Canis lupus familiaris: one gene and its partner. The protein of the gene in region 1 purifies or fractionates together with the protein of each later gene. This does not show direct contact. Links are inferred from orthologs where the notes say so. Each region holds a gene or a part of one and is shown in the gene's direction. Other genes may lie near its edges. The genes, in order: HMG20A and PHF14.

The links.
Region 2: the proteins of HMG20A (region 1) and PHF14 purify together in Homo sapiens (affinity purification with mass spectrometry; 3 studies listed by BioGRID and IntAct, counting the BioPlex papers as one, with this or other methods). This does not show direct contact. The link is inferred for Canis lupus familiaris from reciprocal best matches to the Homo sapiens genes HMG20A and PHF14.

What each region holds. Positions count from the first base shown.
Region 1 is NC_049251.1:39,351,176-39,357,430, reverse strand, and holds the start of HMG20A (high mobility group protein 20A), read left to right. Parts: upstream 1-2,066; 5' UTR 2,067-2,278; coding exon of another isoform or gene 2,279-3,117; intron 3,118-4,146; coding exon of another isoform or gene 4,147-4,208; intron 4,209-6,212; coding exon of another isoform or gene 6,213-6,255. Other genes in the region: synaptojanin-1-like, read right to left, coding at 59-147, 2,279-3,117, 4,147-4,208, 6,213-6,255. UniProt on the Homo sapiens protein: Plays a role in neuronal differentiation as chromatin-associated protein. Acts as inhibitor of HMG20B. Overcomes the repressive effects of the neuronal silencer REST and induces the activation of neuronal-specific genes.
Region 2 is NC_049235.1:25,909,538-25,915,091, forward strand, and holds part of PHF14 (PHD finger protein 14), read left to right. Parts: intron 1-2,735; coding exon 2,736-2,873; intron 2,874-5,554. UniProt on the Homo sapiens protein: Histone-binding protein. Binds preferentially to unmodified histone H3 but can also bind to a lesser extent to histone H3 trimethylated at 'Lys-9' (H3K9me3) as well as to histone H3 monomethylated at 'Lys-27' (H3K27ac) and trimethylated at 'Lys-27' (H3K27me3).

The sequences.
Region 1 (6,255 bases):
CCCAAACATCAGCAAGGAAGTTTTTCTCTGCACTATCACTGGGTAAAGTGAATACTCATCATAACAGCTCGAAGCAATCTTCTCTTGTCCTTTCGCCCAAATATTTTCTTCCCCTACTGGGACCCAGCCAAACAGAAATACCAGCTCCTAAATGGCAGAGAGGGGATGGAAAGGACCACACATCACCAGCCTCAAGGAAAAGGGCTTGAGGCTTTTCCCCCCCATGTAATATAATCAAGCTACAGTCTCCAAAATAAAGACATGATAAAATATTTCCCCTTCTGACAGCTACGGAAAGAGGTTTGTTTTTCGCATACTTGGTGAATTGGTCATGGCCCAGCTCCCCGGCAATGGCAGGCACCCTGCTCCCGCTCGCCGGAGTCCCCGGGCGGGGGCCTGGGCCGGGGGCGGCCCCACCTGCCGGGAGCGCCCGCCGCGGGCGCCGAGGGGGGCTGGGGGGGGGGCGGGGCGCCGCGCGAGTGTCCGCGGACGCCGGGGGCCGGAGCCGGAGCCGGGGGGCGCGTCGGGGTCCCCGCGGGGGAGGGGGAGGGCGGGCGCGGCCCGCAGCAGGCGCCCAGGTCGGCGGCCCGGGTGGAAGTCCCCGATCCGCGAGCGGGCCGGGCGTGCCGGGCTCCAGGGGCGAGGCCGCCACCACGAGGCCGGCTCCGCGCCTCCACGCGCGTCCGGGGCAGCGCTGGGGCCGACACCGAAGTCGTGCCCTCGGCCGGCCGGGGCGGGGGGGGGGGGGGGGGGGGGGGGGAGGGGAGGGGAGGGGAGGGAGGGGGGAGGGGGCTGCCCGCCCTCCCGCCCGCGGGTCGCAAAGTAGCCCCGACCCAGGAGCCCGCGGGCGACCGAGGGACGAGACCAGCCGCCGCGGCCCGCAGGAGAGCGGGCGGGCGGGGGAGCCTCCGGGGCCGAGCGGGGCCGCCGACACGCAGCAGCGCCCGCGTCCAGCCCCCGCAGCTGCACTTTCCCCAGCGGCAGCCCCGCCGCGCCCGGGGGCGCCCCTGCGCCAGCTCCAACTTTCCCTCCTCTGGGGGGCGCCGGGCGACCGGGGCGGCCGTCCTCGCCGGGGGGCGGGGGGAGCTCCGGGGCGGGGCTCCGGGCGGCGGAGGGGGGGGGCGGCGGGGCTCGGGACGGCGGGGAGGGGGGCGGGGGGCCGGCGGGGAGGGTGCAGGGGGTGCAGGGGGGCGGCGGGGAGGGGTGCAGGGGGGCGGCGGGGAGGGTGCAGGGGGGCGGCGGGAAGGTGCAGGGGAGAGGCGAGGAGGGTGCAGGGGGCGGCGGGGAGGGCTGCAGGGGGGGACGGGGCTCGGGACGGCGGCGGGGGGTGCAGAGGGGGACGGGGGAAGGACGGCGGGGAGGGCAGCGGGGGGGGGGGCGTTGCAGGGGAGCGGCGGGGCCCCGGGGAGGAGTGCAGGGGGGTCGGGGGGGCTGCAGGGGGCGGCGGGGCTCGGGGCGGCCGCACAGCCCGCACCGGGCAGGACGCACCGGCCGCCTGCGCCCCCGTGGCGCCGCCCCACGACCCCGCGCGCCCCGCCCGGGCTCCGCCGGGGCAGCGCTCGCCCCCCGGGCCGGCCGGCGCCGGGGAGGGGACCGAGGGGACGCGGGCAGCCCTGGCCCCGTTACCTGGAAGGCGCGCGTGCCGCTGGGGCGACCACCATCGCCGGCCGGCCCGTCCCCCGCCCGGTGACCGCGGCCGCCGCCGCCGAGCAACTGACACTAACAAGTAACTAACTACTGGCCGCCGCCGAGCCTGCCGAGCCTGCCGCGCGCTCCCGCCGCCCGCCGCCCGCCGCCCGCCCGGCCCACCAGCCCGCGCGCCCGCCTCCTCCCGGCCCGCGCGCCGCCCCTCCGCGCGCACCCGCCGCGGCTCCCCGCGGAGCGAGCACGCGCACGCGCACGAGCCCCCGCTCGGCCGTCTCCCCGGGCTCGCCCCGGGCCCGGGGGAGGGGCCACCGCGGGGCCCCGCCCACCTCCGGACCATCAGCCTATGAGGGCTCCAGACTGACCGGCGGGGGCGTGGCCGAGGGAAGAGGGCGGGACGACCGGGCCCTTGGGCTAAAGCCAAGGGAAATTCGGGTTCCGCTCCGTCCCAGACGGAAAGGGCGGCAGGTCGTTCGCCCTTTCGGTGCCGAAGCCCCCTGGCCAGCCTGCCGTCGAGTGCAAAACACGTGTTTCCAAGGGCCCCCAGCATCCCGTAATTACCGAGTCCTTTCTGCAGGCCTTAGCGACGTCAAAAACTACATCTCCCAGGAAGCTCCGCGAAAGCCGGCCTCACCTTGCGTCATCACGTAGTCCCTCGCCGCATTGGAACAAAATAATCCCTTCGTTTTTCTCAAGGTACGGGGGGTAATAGTCCCTTTTCCTCCTCGCCGGAGCAATTCTAAACGCCATCGCGACAAGGAAGGCTGCGTCGGGGGAGGTGGCTCAGCGGCCGGGCGAAGGGAAAGGAAAGATAGCGAAAGAAAGTGCTGCGGAGGAATTTCCCCCGCCGCGAGACGCCGCAGCGAGCGGAGTGCAGGCGACCGAGAGGGGCTCAGGGGACTGTCCTCCGTGCGGGGGCCTCTGCGGGCCCCGTCCCCGCCTGCCCCTGCCGCCAGCAGGCCGGTAAGCAGGGCGGGCTGCGGGGTGGCCACGGCCGAGCGGCCCCGCGCCCCCCCAACGCCGTCTCCTTTGGCCGTTGTGGCCGGTTCGGCTCGGCTTGAGGCCGCCCGAACGGGGGCGCCCCACTTCCGGTGGGGGAGGGGCGGCCGGAGCCGCTTCCGGTGGGGGCGGGGGCGTGGTGCGCGCGGCGCGGCGGGCGCGGCGTCCTGAGGTTGGGGGCGTGTGCGCCGCGGGAGGGTCGGCGGTGGCTCGTGGCTCGTGGCTCGTGGCTCGTCGCCCGCCGCCCGCCGCCCGCCGCCTCCCGCCCGGATCCGGGAGCTCTGTCTCCCCGCGTTAGGAGGGAACAGCTCCTCCCCCAGGTGTTCGCAGGGCGCTGTTAGACCCCCTCGGCTCCGGCACGTCCGCGCGCCCTCCGTGCCCCCGGCCCGAGCCAGGTGTCCCAGCCGGAGGCAGGTGTCCCGGCCCGAGCCCGAAGCAGGTGTCTCGGCCAGAGCCAGGTGTCCCAGCCCGAGCCTGAAGCAGGTGCCCCAGCCTGAGCCAGGTGTCCTGGCCCCAGCCCGAAGCAGGTGTCCCGGCCCAAGCCCGAGGCAAGTGTCCCAGCCGGAGCCAGGTGCCTCGGCTGGGGCCAGGTGTCCCAGCCCGAGCCTGAAGCAGGTGTCCCGGCCTGAGCCAGGTGTCCTGGCCCAAGCAGGTGTCCCAGCCGGAGGCAGGTGTCCTGGCCCGAGCCCGAAGCAGGTGTCCCGGCCCAAGCTAGGTGTCCCAGCCCGAGGCAAGTGTCCTGGCCCCAGCCCGAAGCAGGTGTCCCGGCCCAAGCCCGAGGCAAGTGTCCCAGCCTGAGCCAGCTGGAGCCAGGTCCCTCGGCTGGGGCCAGGTGTCCCAGCCCGAGCCTGAAGCAGGTGTCCCAGCCTGAGCCAGGTGTCCTGGCCCAAACAGGTGTCCCGGCCTGAGCCAGGTGTCCTGGCCCAAGCAGGTGTCCCGGCCTGAGCCAGGTGTCCTGGCCCAAGCAGGAGTCCCAGCCAGAGGCAGGTGTCCTGGCCCGAGCCCGAAGCAGGTGTCCCAGCCCGAAGCAGGTGTCCCGGCCCAAGCCCAAGGCAAGTGTCCCAGCCTGAGCCAGCTGGAGCCAGGTGCCTCGGCTGGGGCCAGGTGTCCCAGCCCGAGCCTGAAGCAGATGTCCCAGCCTGAGCCAGGTGTCCTGGCCCAAACAGGTGTCCCAGCCAGAGGCAGGTGTCCCGGCCCAAGCCAGGTGTCCCGGCCCAAGCCAGGTGTCCCAGCCCAAGGCAGGTGTCCTGGCCCCAGCCGGAAGCAGGTGTCCCGGCCCGAGGCAAGTGTCCCAGCCTCTTCGACCGCCGGCCCCACGCCTGCCCCCAGGACTCTCGCGTTGGCTCAGAGCGGGGAGGCATCTTCACCTGGCAGGGGTGAAGCCTTTGGTGTCCCCTTAACCCATACCGAGTGCTCTTCGGCTCCTACACCTGTTGATTTTAGGCGGCAGCTTTCGCCTTGTAGCTGAAAACCACTTACTTCCTCAGGCCTGAAAATTCTTACCTGTCCCTGTCACGGAGCTCCTGGGACAGCTGTAGGTCGATACATTCCCCCGCCCCCTCCACCTTTGTAATTTAAGTAATTTCAGCCCCGATGAAAACCTGGTATCTGCCCTTTCTGTTTGCAAACCATGCTGCGGAGATCATGGTACTCAGGTTTTAAGCAAGCAGGGCATTTGGCTCACGGAGGACAGAAGATGGGTAAGACAGGACTTTTTTTTTTTTTTTTCCTGTGTTGTCAGTGTTTTATTATAAGAAGCAATGTGTAAAGTGGTAATAAACACTCAATTTTTCTTGTCTTCTCCTTTCAAGTATCACAGGTGTGTGTGTTTGTACTAATGGAATCCATCCGTTTGGAGCCTATGAAATCTCAACTGTAGTGATTTTATTTTAATTTTTTTTGTAGTGATTTTAGAATATCAAGTAAACTGTAAGGTCTTTAAAGGATTTTTAAAAGCATAAGGCCCATGTTTCGTTTTGTTTTTTCCTTTGGGATTTGTTACCTATTCTATCCTCTGAATTTGCAATTGTCTTAATTCTAGTTCTTTGAAAAAGCCATTATTATTTATTAGAAAAATGTGGGGTTCTTTGTTTGTTTTAATTCATGAGAGGCAGAGAGACAGAAGCAGAAGCAGAGGGATCCCTGGGTGGCGCATCGGTTTGGCGCCTGCCTTTGGCCCAGGGCGGGATCCGGGAGACCCGGGATCGAATCCCACGTCGGGCTCCCGGTGCATGGAGCCTGCTTCTCCCTCTGCCTGTGTCTCTGCCTCTCTCTCTCTCTCTCTCTTTGTGACTATCATAAATAAATAAATAATTAAAAAAAAAAAAAAAGAAGCAGAAGCAGAGACACAGACAGAGGGACAAGCAGGCTCCTTGCAAGGAACCCAGTGTGGGACTCAATCCCGGATCTCCAGGATCACGCATGCCCTGGGCCGAAGGCAGACGCTAAACCGCTGAGCCACCCAGGGATCCCTGAAAAAATGTGTTTTAAACTAAATATTACAGTAAGGGAAAAAATACATGTTTTAACCTTATGTAAACATTGGGGGAAAAAAATCTAAGACCCTAAAATCAGTGAGTTATCCTTTGAAAGACTACAGAATTTCTGCAGTAATTGAAAAGGCAAGACACGATAATGTCTATGTTATTATTAATTGAAGGTTAGGGACATGTAGACTGCCTCAAGCAAGTATTAATTAATTGATTGGACAGAAAGTGTTCACTGTCTTCCATATTATTAAAGTATAAAAGAAAATGTGATACGATCACCCTGACAAATTAAACTATAGTATTAGGAATTACTGCAGTAAGCAAAGATCGTGGAACTTTTAAATGAAAAAGATAGAGAAAATGTAGTTTAAATATTGATTGAGATACAGTAGTATTGCTTTTAGGAAACTAGAGAGCAAAGGAGTTTTTTTTAATTGGGTCTTTATGCTATTCCATGGAAGAATTGCAGTGTAACAGAAGAAAATTTGCTGCAGCTGAAAGACAAGCAGCTTGCAGAACTGTCTGTTCTGAAGAAAGTAATATATACACCACATATCTGAAAGAAGACATTTTGTGACAAGTGGCAGTTTTTCATTGGTCCCATCAAAGAAGAAATATTAGAAAAGCCTGTGAAAAACAGAGAGCAAGTCCATGGAGCCTGGCTTTTATTTTCTTTAAATCTTTAAAAAGTGTTTCTTTAGAAAGGCTTGTTATCTTCCAAAGATTTTTTTTTCCCCTCTGTGCTCTCTGTTGCAGTTTTCTTTGTATGTTTTAATAGAATCAAAATTAGAAAAATAGGGCCGCCTGGGTGGCTCAGTCTGTTAAATGTCTGCCTTTGGCTTGGGTCATGATGGAGCCGCAGTCAGACTCCCTGCCTTGTGAGGACTGTGATTCTCTGCCCTCCTGGCCCCTCTCCTTCTGCCCCTCTTCCTGCTCCTGCTCTCTCTCAAGTAAATAATTTAAAATTTTTTTACAAATTAGAAAAAGACTTAGGGAAGTGAACTCCATTACTCCTTAGAGTTAATGATTTTGAGATTTTCATTCCATTTCTTACTATCTATAAGCAAGAATTGTCCGTACATTCCATTTCTTACTATCTATAAGCAAGAAATTGTCCGTACTC
Region 2 (5,554 bases), on another chromosome or scaffold:
AAATCAAATACAAACTTAATTTCTGACTTTACTTTTGAAGTGGAATTTGCCAAAATAATGAAAAGAGTATAAGAGGCACCTGTTATTTTACTTAAACTTCAAGGACTGTTATTTTTTTGTTAATGACTACATAACCTGTCTAGCAACTGATTCTCAGCCTCAGTAGTTTATAAATTGGTTTTTAGGGATGCCTGGATGGCTCAGCGGTTGAGCGTCTTGCCTTCAGCTCAAGGCATGATCCTTGAGTCCCGGGATCAAGTCCTGCATTGGGCTCCCTTCATGGAGCCTGCTTCTCCCTCTGCCTATGTCTCTGCCTCTTTCTCTGTGTCTCTCATGAATAAATAAAATATTATTTAAAAATTGGTTTTTATTGCTTGAGCTTTGGGATTATAAGTGATAAAAATACAGTTATTAATTTAAACTTATTATATAGTTACTACAGACATCCCTGTCATGTTAGAATGACGTAGACACTGATACGTTCTCTTCCGTTGCTATCTTTTGGGAAATAGGGAAGGAAGACTCTTGAATAGCGTTAGTAACACCTTAGGTGCGGTGGGGAACTTAAAGATTCTTGAAAAATCCTGATATTGAAAATTCAAGAGTTTGACAGTTTCTGCTGTTACATCCAGAATATCCTCCTTAGGTTCTAACTACCACCTCCATTGCTCTCCCTCCAGCGTCACTCCAAAACTCTTGTGCTTTAGTTTGGGTAATTCCTGTTGAATTTTCTTATTATCAGATTATCTCTCTGATGCCTTTAATCTATAGTTTAAAAAAAATTAATATGTCCATATTTCTAGTTTCTGGCAGGATTAATAAAAATTACCTAGTCCACCATTGTTGGAAGTGAAAGGGACTACTTTTTGATAACTGCTTCATAATTTACCAACACAGAGCCTAGAAGGGACTAGCTTAAGTAATTTTCAGTAGGCACACGTTTTTATCATAAATCTACAAGCAATGGAACCAGATACTACTTCATATAACTGAAACCAGCAGTGACCTCTGAACTGAAAAAGAGAATCATTAAATACATAATTGTCAGCTGATTTTTCATTATAACTTGCTTTTGTTTTGAAGTATGATTAGGAAGTGGAGTAAAAAAAATTGTGTATTCTCTGGCTCATCTGCAAAATTAAACAGTGATGTGAATTATGACTGGGACAGCTCTTCTAGACCTATGTATCCATTTCCTAATCCTGGTTACTTTCTCCCCTGTATTCTCAGTTACTTAGTTTCCTAGCATTTTAAGTGTTTCAAGCAATTGAGAAGATTCTCTTTTTTTTTGTTAGATTGTTCTATAGTCCTTATAAGACTTTATTGTCAGGAAATTTTTCCTTGTATTCATTCTGAAATCCCTTGTTCAGCTATATCATATTACACTGAATTAGTTTGGGAACTATCCTGAACAATTTGGTTCTGTTTGCACTATTGTCATTCTTGAAATAATATAATTTCTCCATTTCTCTCTTTCCTTTCCTCTCTCCTTCTGTTTCATTCTTTCACTCTTTTTTTTGTTTTCATGTTTAGATTACTATTTGCTCATATTTTATATCATACACCCTCTACTGTTATTGGGGAAAAAAAAAACCAAACAAACCTTAACCAAGCAGTAGAGTATCAGGATTTGGGTGTCTTTTCACATCTGTATTGAGTTCTTGCTGTTTTCATTCTTTGCTGATAGGTCAGTTTGTTGCTGTCTACCTAGCAGGTAGTCACTGACTGTTACAGTGTGAGAGTGACATTTTTAGTGTCTATTGAAACTTTTTAATTTTCTTTTTGTGTTTTCCTTTTTTATAATTTACTTAGAATATATTTACTTTAAACAGTTCTTTAATTGTCTGTTGACAATCTATCACAATTTAGCAGGTTTTTCTTTTTTTCTTTTTCTTTTAGCAGGTTTTTCTTTTATGAAGATTACTCTTCTTAGAGTTGTTTATATTTTAAAACTAAATTTTTTTTTCTTTCTGTGGTTTGGATAGTGAAAAGGATAAATAAATTTGGGGGGATTGGAAGTAATTTCAGTAGTTTAAATTTCTAGTTATATAGTTTTTTTCTTTGTGTTCAGAAAGGATATAAATAGTTGACTGTAACATGTCCCAGAGCAAATTGTTTACTTAAGATTACTTTTAATTCACTTGAAAGATACTTTAAAAATGCATGATTTCTTTGGCTGCAATTTCTTGGTGAAAGAAATTGGTGAATTTTCTCTGATTTACTGGTAAATTTTCTCTGACTTATTTTCTTTCATTATCCAAGCAGTATTCTATTCAGATCAGTGTAGCCTAGTGTTAAGAGCATGGACTTTAAAGTGAGATTACCCTGGTTTGAATACTGATGTGGCAGTTATTTTTTATGTTATTTTGAGCAGATTTCTTAAACTGTCTTCACCTCAGTTTTCCTGTGTATAAAATGGATATAATACCTCTTCTGCTTATTATTGTGGAATAGTGTAGCAAATGGTGGCATATATTAGTATATGTAAAATGTTTAGAATAGTGCCTAGCACATAGTAAACCTTCAAATTATTATTACTGTCATTATTGTATCAATGGAATTTTGGTTCATTAGAACCATAGAATTTTTCATATAAACTTCTTGCCTATAATTATTAATGTTTCTATTAATATGCTGTTGATTCACTATTTGTATTTTATGGATGCATTGTATGAGAATGAAGTCTTGTTCTGGAGATATTTTTATTCTGAGAGTTTTCCTATATTCCATTATAGGAGTGTAGCTTCTGTGAAGACCCTCGTTTTGCTAGAACTGGAGTTTGCATTAGCTGTGATGCAGGGATGTGCAGAGCCTATTTCCATGTGACCTGTGCCCAGAAGGAAGGTTTGCTTTCAGAGGCAGCAGCAGAAGAGGTAGGTTTATTTAAACCCATCATTGGTGAATATGTTCATAAGGCATTTCATGACTCTGTTATGTCCTACACAACAGGTGTGCATCATAAAAGAAATTAAGCTTATTTTAAGTCTTTGCCTAGATCACTGGACTAAAATTTCAAAAGTAAAAAAAATATGAGTTTTTTCATTTTTAAAGCTAAACGTTTGGAAAATATGTTAAAATTTTATTGGGAGATCTGACAGATAAAATGAAACATAATCCAGGTTGTTTTAAAACATTAAAATGTCAGCATCTTGGATAACCTCACTCTATTTCTATAAATAAAATCATTACTCTGTCTTCAGTATCTGTATTTCTGTCTCTTTACAATTTGTTTTTAAAGATTTTATTTATTTATTTATTTATTAGAGAGACAGAGTGAGAGGAGAGAGTATGGGCAGGGGGTAGAGAGGGAGGCAGGCTCACCTGACCTGGGGCTCAATCCCAGGACCCTGAGATTATGACCTCAGCTGAGTGCAGATACTTAACCAATTGAGCCAGGCACCCAGGTGCCTCTTTACAATTTTTTTTTAATTTTATAATTTTCCTTCCAGGTTTATTGGCTTTTTAGGTTAAGCAGTAAGTTGTTTTCCAAGTGTGTTTTGGGAGCTCCTTAATGTTCTTTCAAGGGATCTATGAGGTTAAAACTATCTTTGTAACAATATGAAAATGGTATATACATTTTTTTTTTTTTACTCTTAATTCTCTCATGAGCAATAGTGGATATTTTCAGAGATTATGTAACATAGCAATATAACATACTGAATGGAAATAGTTTTGAGAATTTAGCTCTCTTTTATGTGAGCTATCTAAACATTAAAGAGATGTGCAAAGATATAAAACAGTACCATTCTTCTCACTGAGTTTGTGTGTGTAAATTATAGTATTTTTAATAAATAAAAATGTTATTTATCTTAACATAATGAAATTATTTTTAAATGAATAAATATATTAAAATTTTATTATTTTAATTTCCAAAAGGGGACTGTCTAGAAATATAACTCACATAAGCTTTTCAAATCTCCAATAATTTTTAAGACTTCAAGGAGTCCTGAGACTAAGTTTTGTTGATTCTTTAAGTTCTTTATGTAGACAGGTATTTGGATGTTTTGCTTGATAATTCTTACTGTCTATTCATGGTGGATCTGTGGTATATCTAAGTCTCTTGCATTCCTTCTTTTACTGGCTAAATTTTCAGTGTCTTATAAAAATATTTATTATATTGGGTCTTTGTCCTAGCTCATTTAATTCATAGACAGGAATCAAGTGAAAAAGATAATCTGATGAAAATTTGTTGTGTAGATTTTGAGGGATATAGTTTTTGAATAAATGAGTTCTACAGCAGTTATATGTTGGTATGGGGTTTTGTACTGGTCTCTGATTCTGATGAATTGTACTTTGATTAATGATGAAGGGTACTGGGTAAACATTGAACATTTTCACAGCTCTTAGGCAGACTTAAAGTATAATTAATTATATAATAGGGCTGTGTGGATTATTAGTTATGACTACAACTCAGAATGGTGGGCAGAAGTGCAGAGGGGCAATACAACTAAGATTTAGAAGACCAGATAAATCCCAAGAATAACTAAGTCAGAATCTGAAGGTTAAGTGTATTACTGTACTTGTAGAAAACTGAGCTTTGCCATCAGGAAGCCTCCTTTGCAGCCATTTCTTTTATAACTTACTGAGAGCTTTACCTTTTATACTATAGCAGCTTGGGTTCATTTGTATAGCCCCATTCACAATTTTTTGGAAGTAGACAGTAGATAAGGAAAGTTGGAGTGCTTGGGTGGCACAGTCAGTTAAGGGTCTGACTCTTGGTTTCAGCTCAGGCTGTAATCTTGGGACCATGAGATCAAGTGGCTACTGGCTCCACTCAGCCCAGGGCATGCTAAAGTCTCTCTCTCCTTCCTCTGCCCCCTTCCCTGCATGCTTATGCACATGCATACATGCACTCTAAATTAAATAAATCTTTAAAAAAGTAAAAAGAGGGGCATGTGAATGGCTCAATTGGTTAAATATCTGCTGTCAGCTCAGGTCATGATCTCAGATCAAGTCTCACATTGGGCTCCTTGCTCAGCGGAGAGTCTGCTTCTCCCTCTGCCCCTTCCCCTACTGGTGTGCATGCTTGCTCTCTCTCTCTCTCTCTTTCTCTTAAATAAATAAATAAATAACTTTAAAAAAAAGAAAGAAAGGAAAATGGGTGATAGAGCCATATACAAGACAGTGAAATTTAGTATGGGCTACAGTGATTTGGAGAGAGTATCTAAAGGTATTCAAATTCAAATGAAACAAAACACAGTATTAACTAAATAAATAGTTCACATCTGTGATCTACACGTCTATATCTCTGAGCTAAGCTGGGGAAATTTACAGAGGAAATTGAAATAAATCAGGGTATGGAAACTGGACCTGAGGCATTTTCCTTGTCTTGCTGCCTCCCTTAATTGATTAGGTAGGAATTCTGGATGCTAGAATAATAAAATATGACTTTTCTCCACATTTGCTGCCTTGTTAAGTATCCTTTTTTTTTTTTTGCGGGGGCGGAGAAATGATTTACAACATATTTGCATGTTTCTGGTATTTTGCTACAAATACTTAACAGAATTAGAAAACTAAAAAGACTTCTGAACAATATTTTAAAACTCAGGACTTT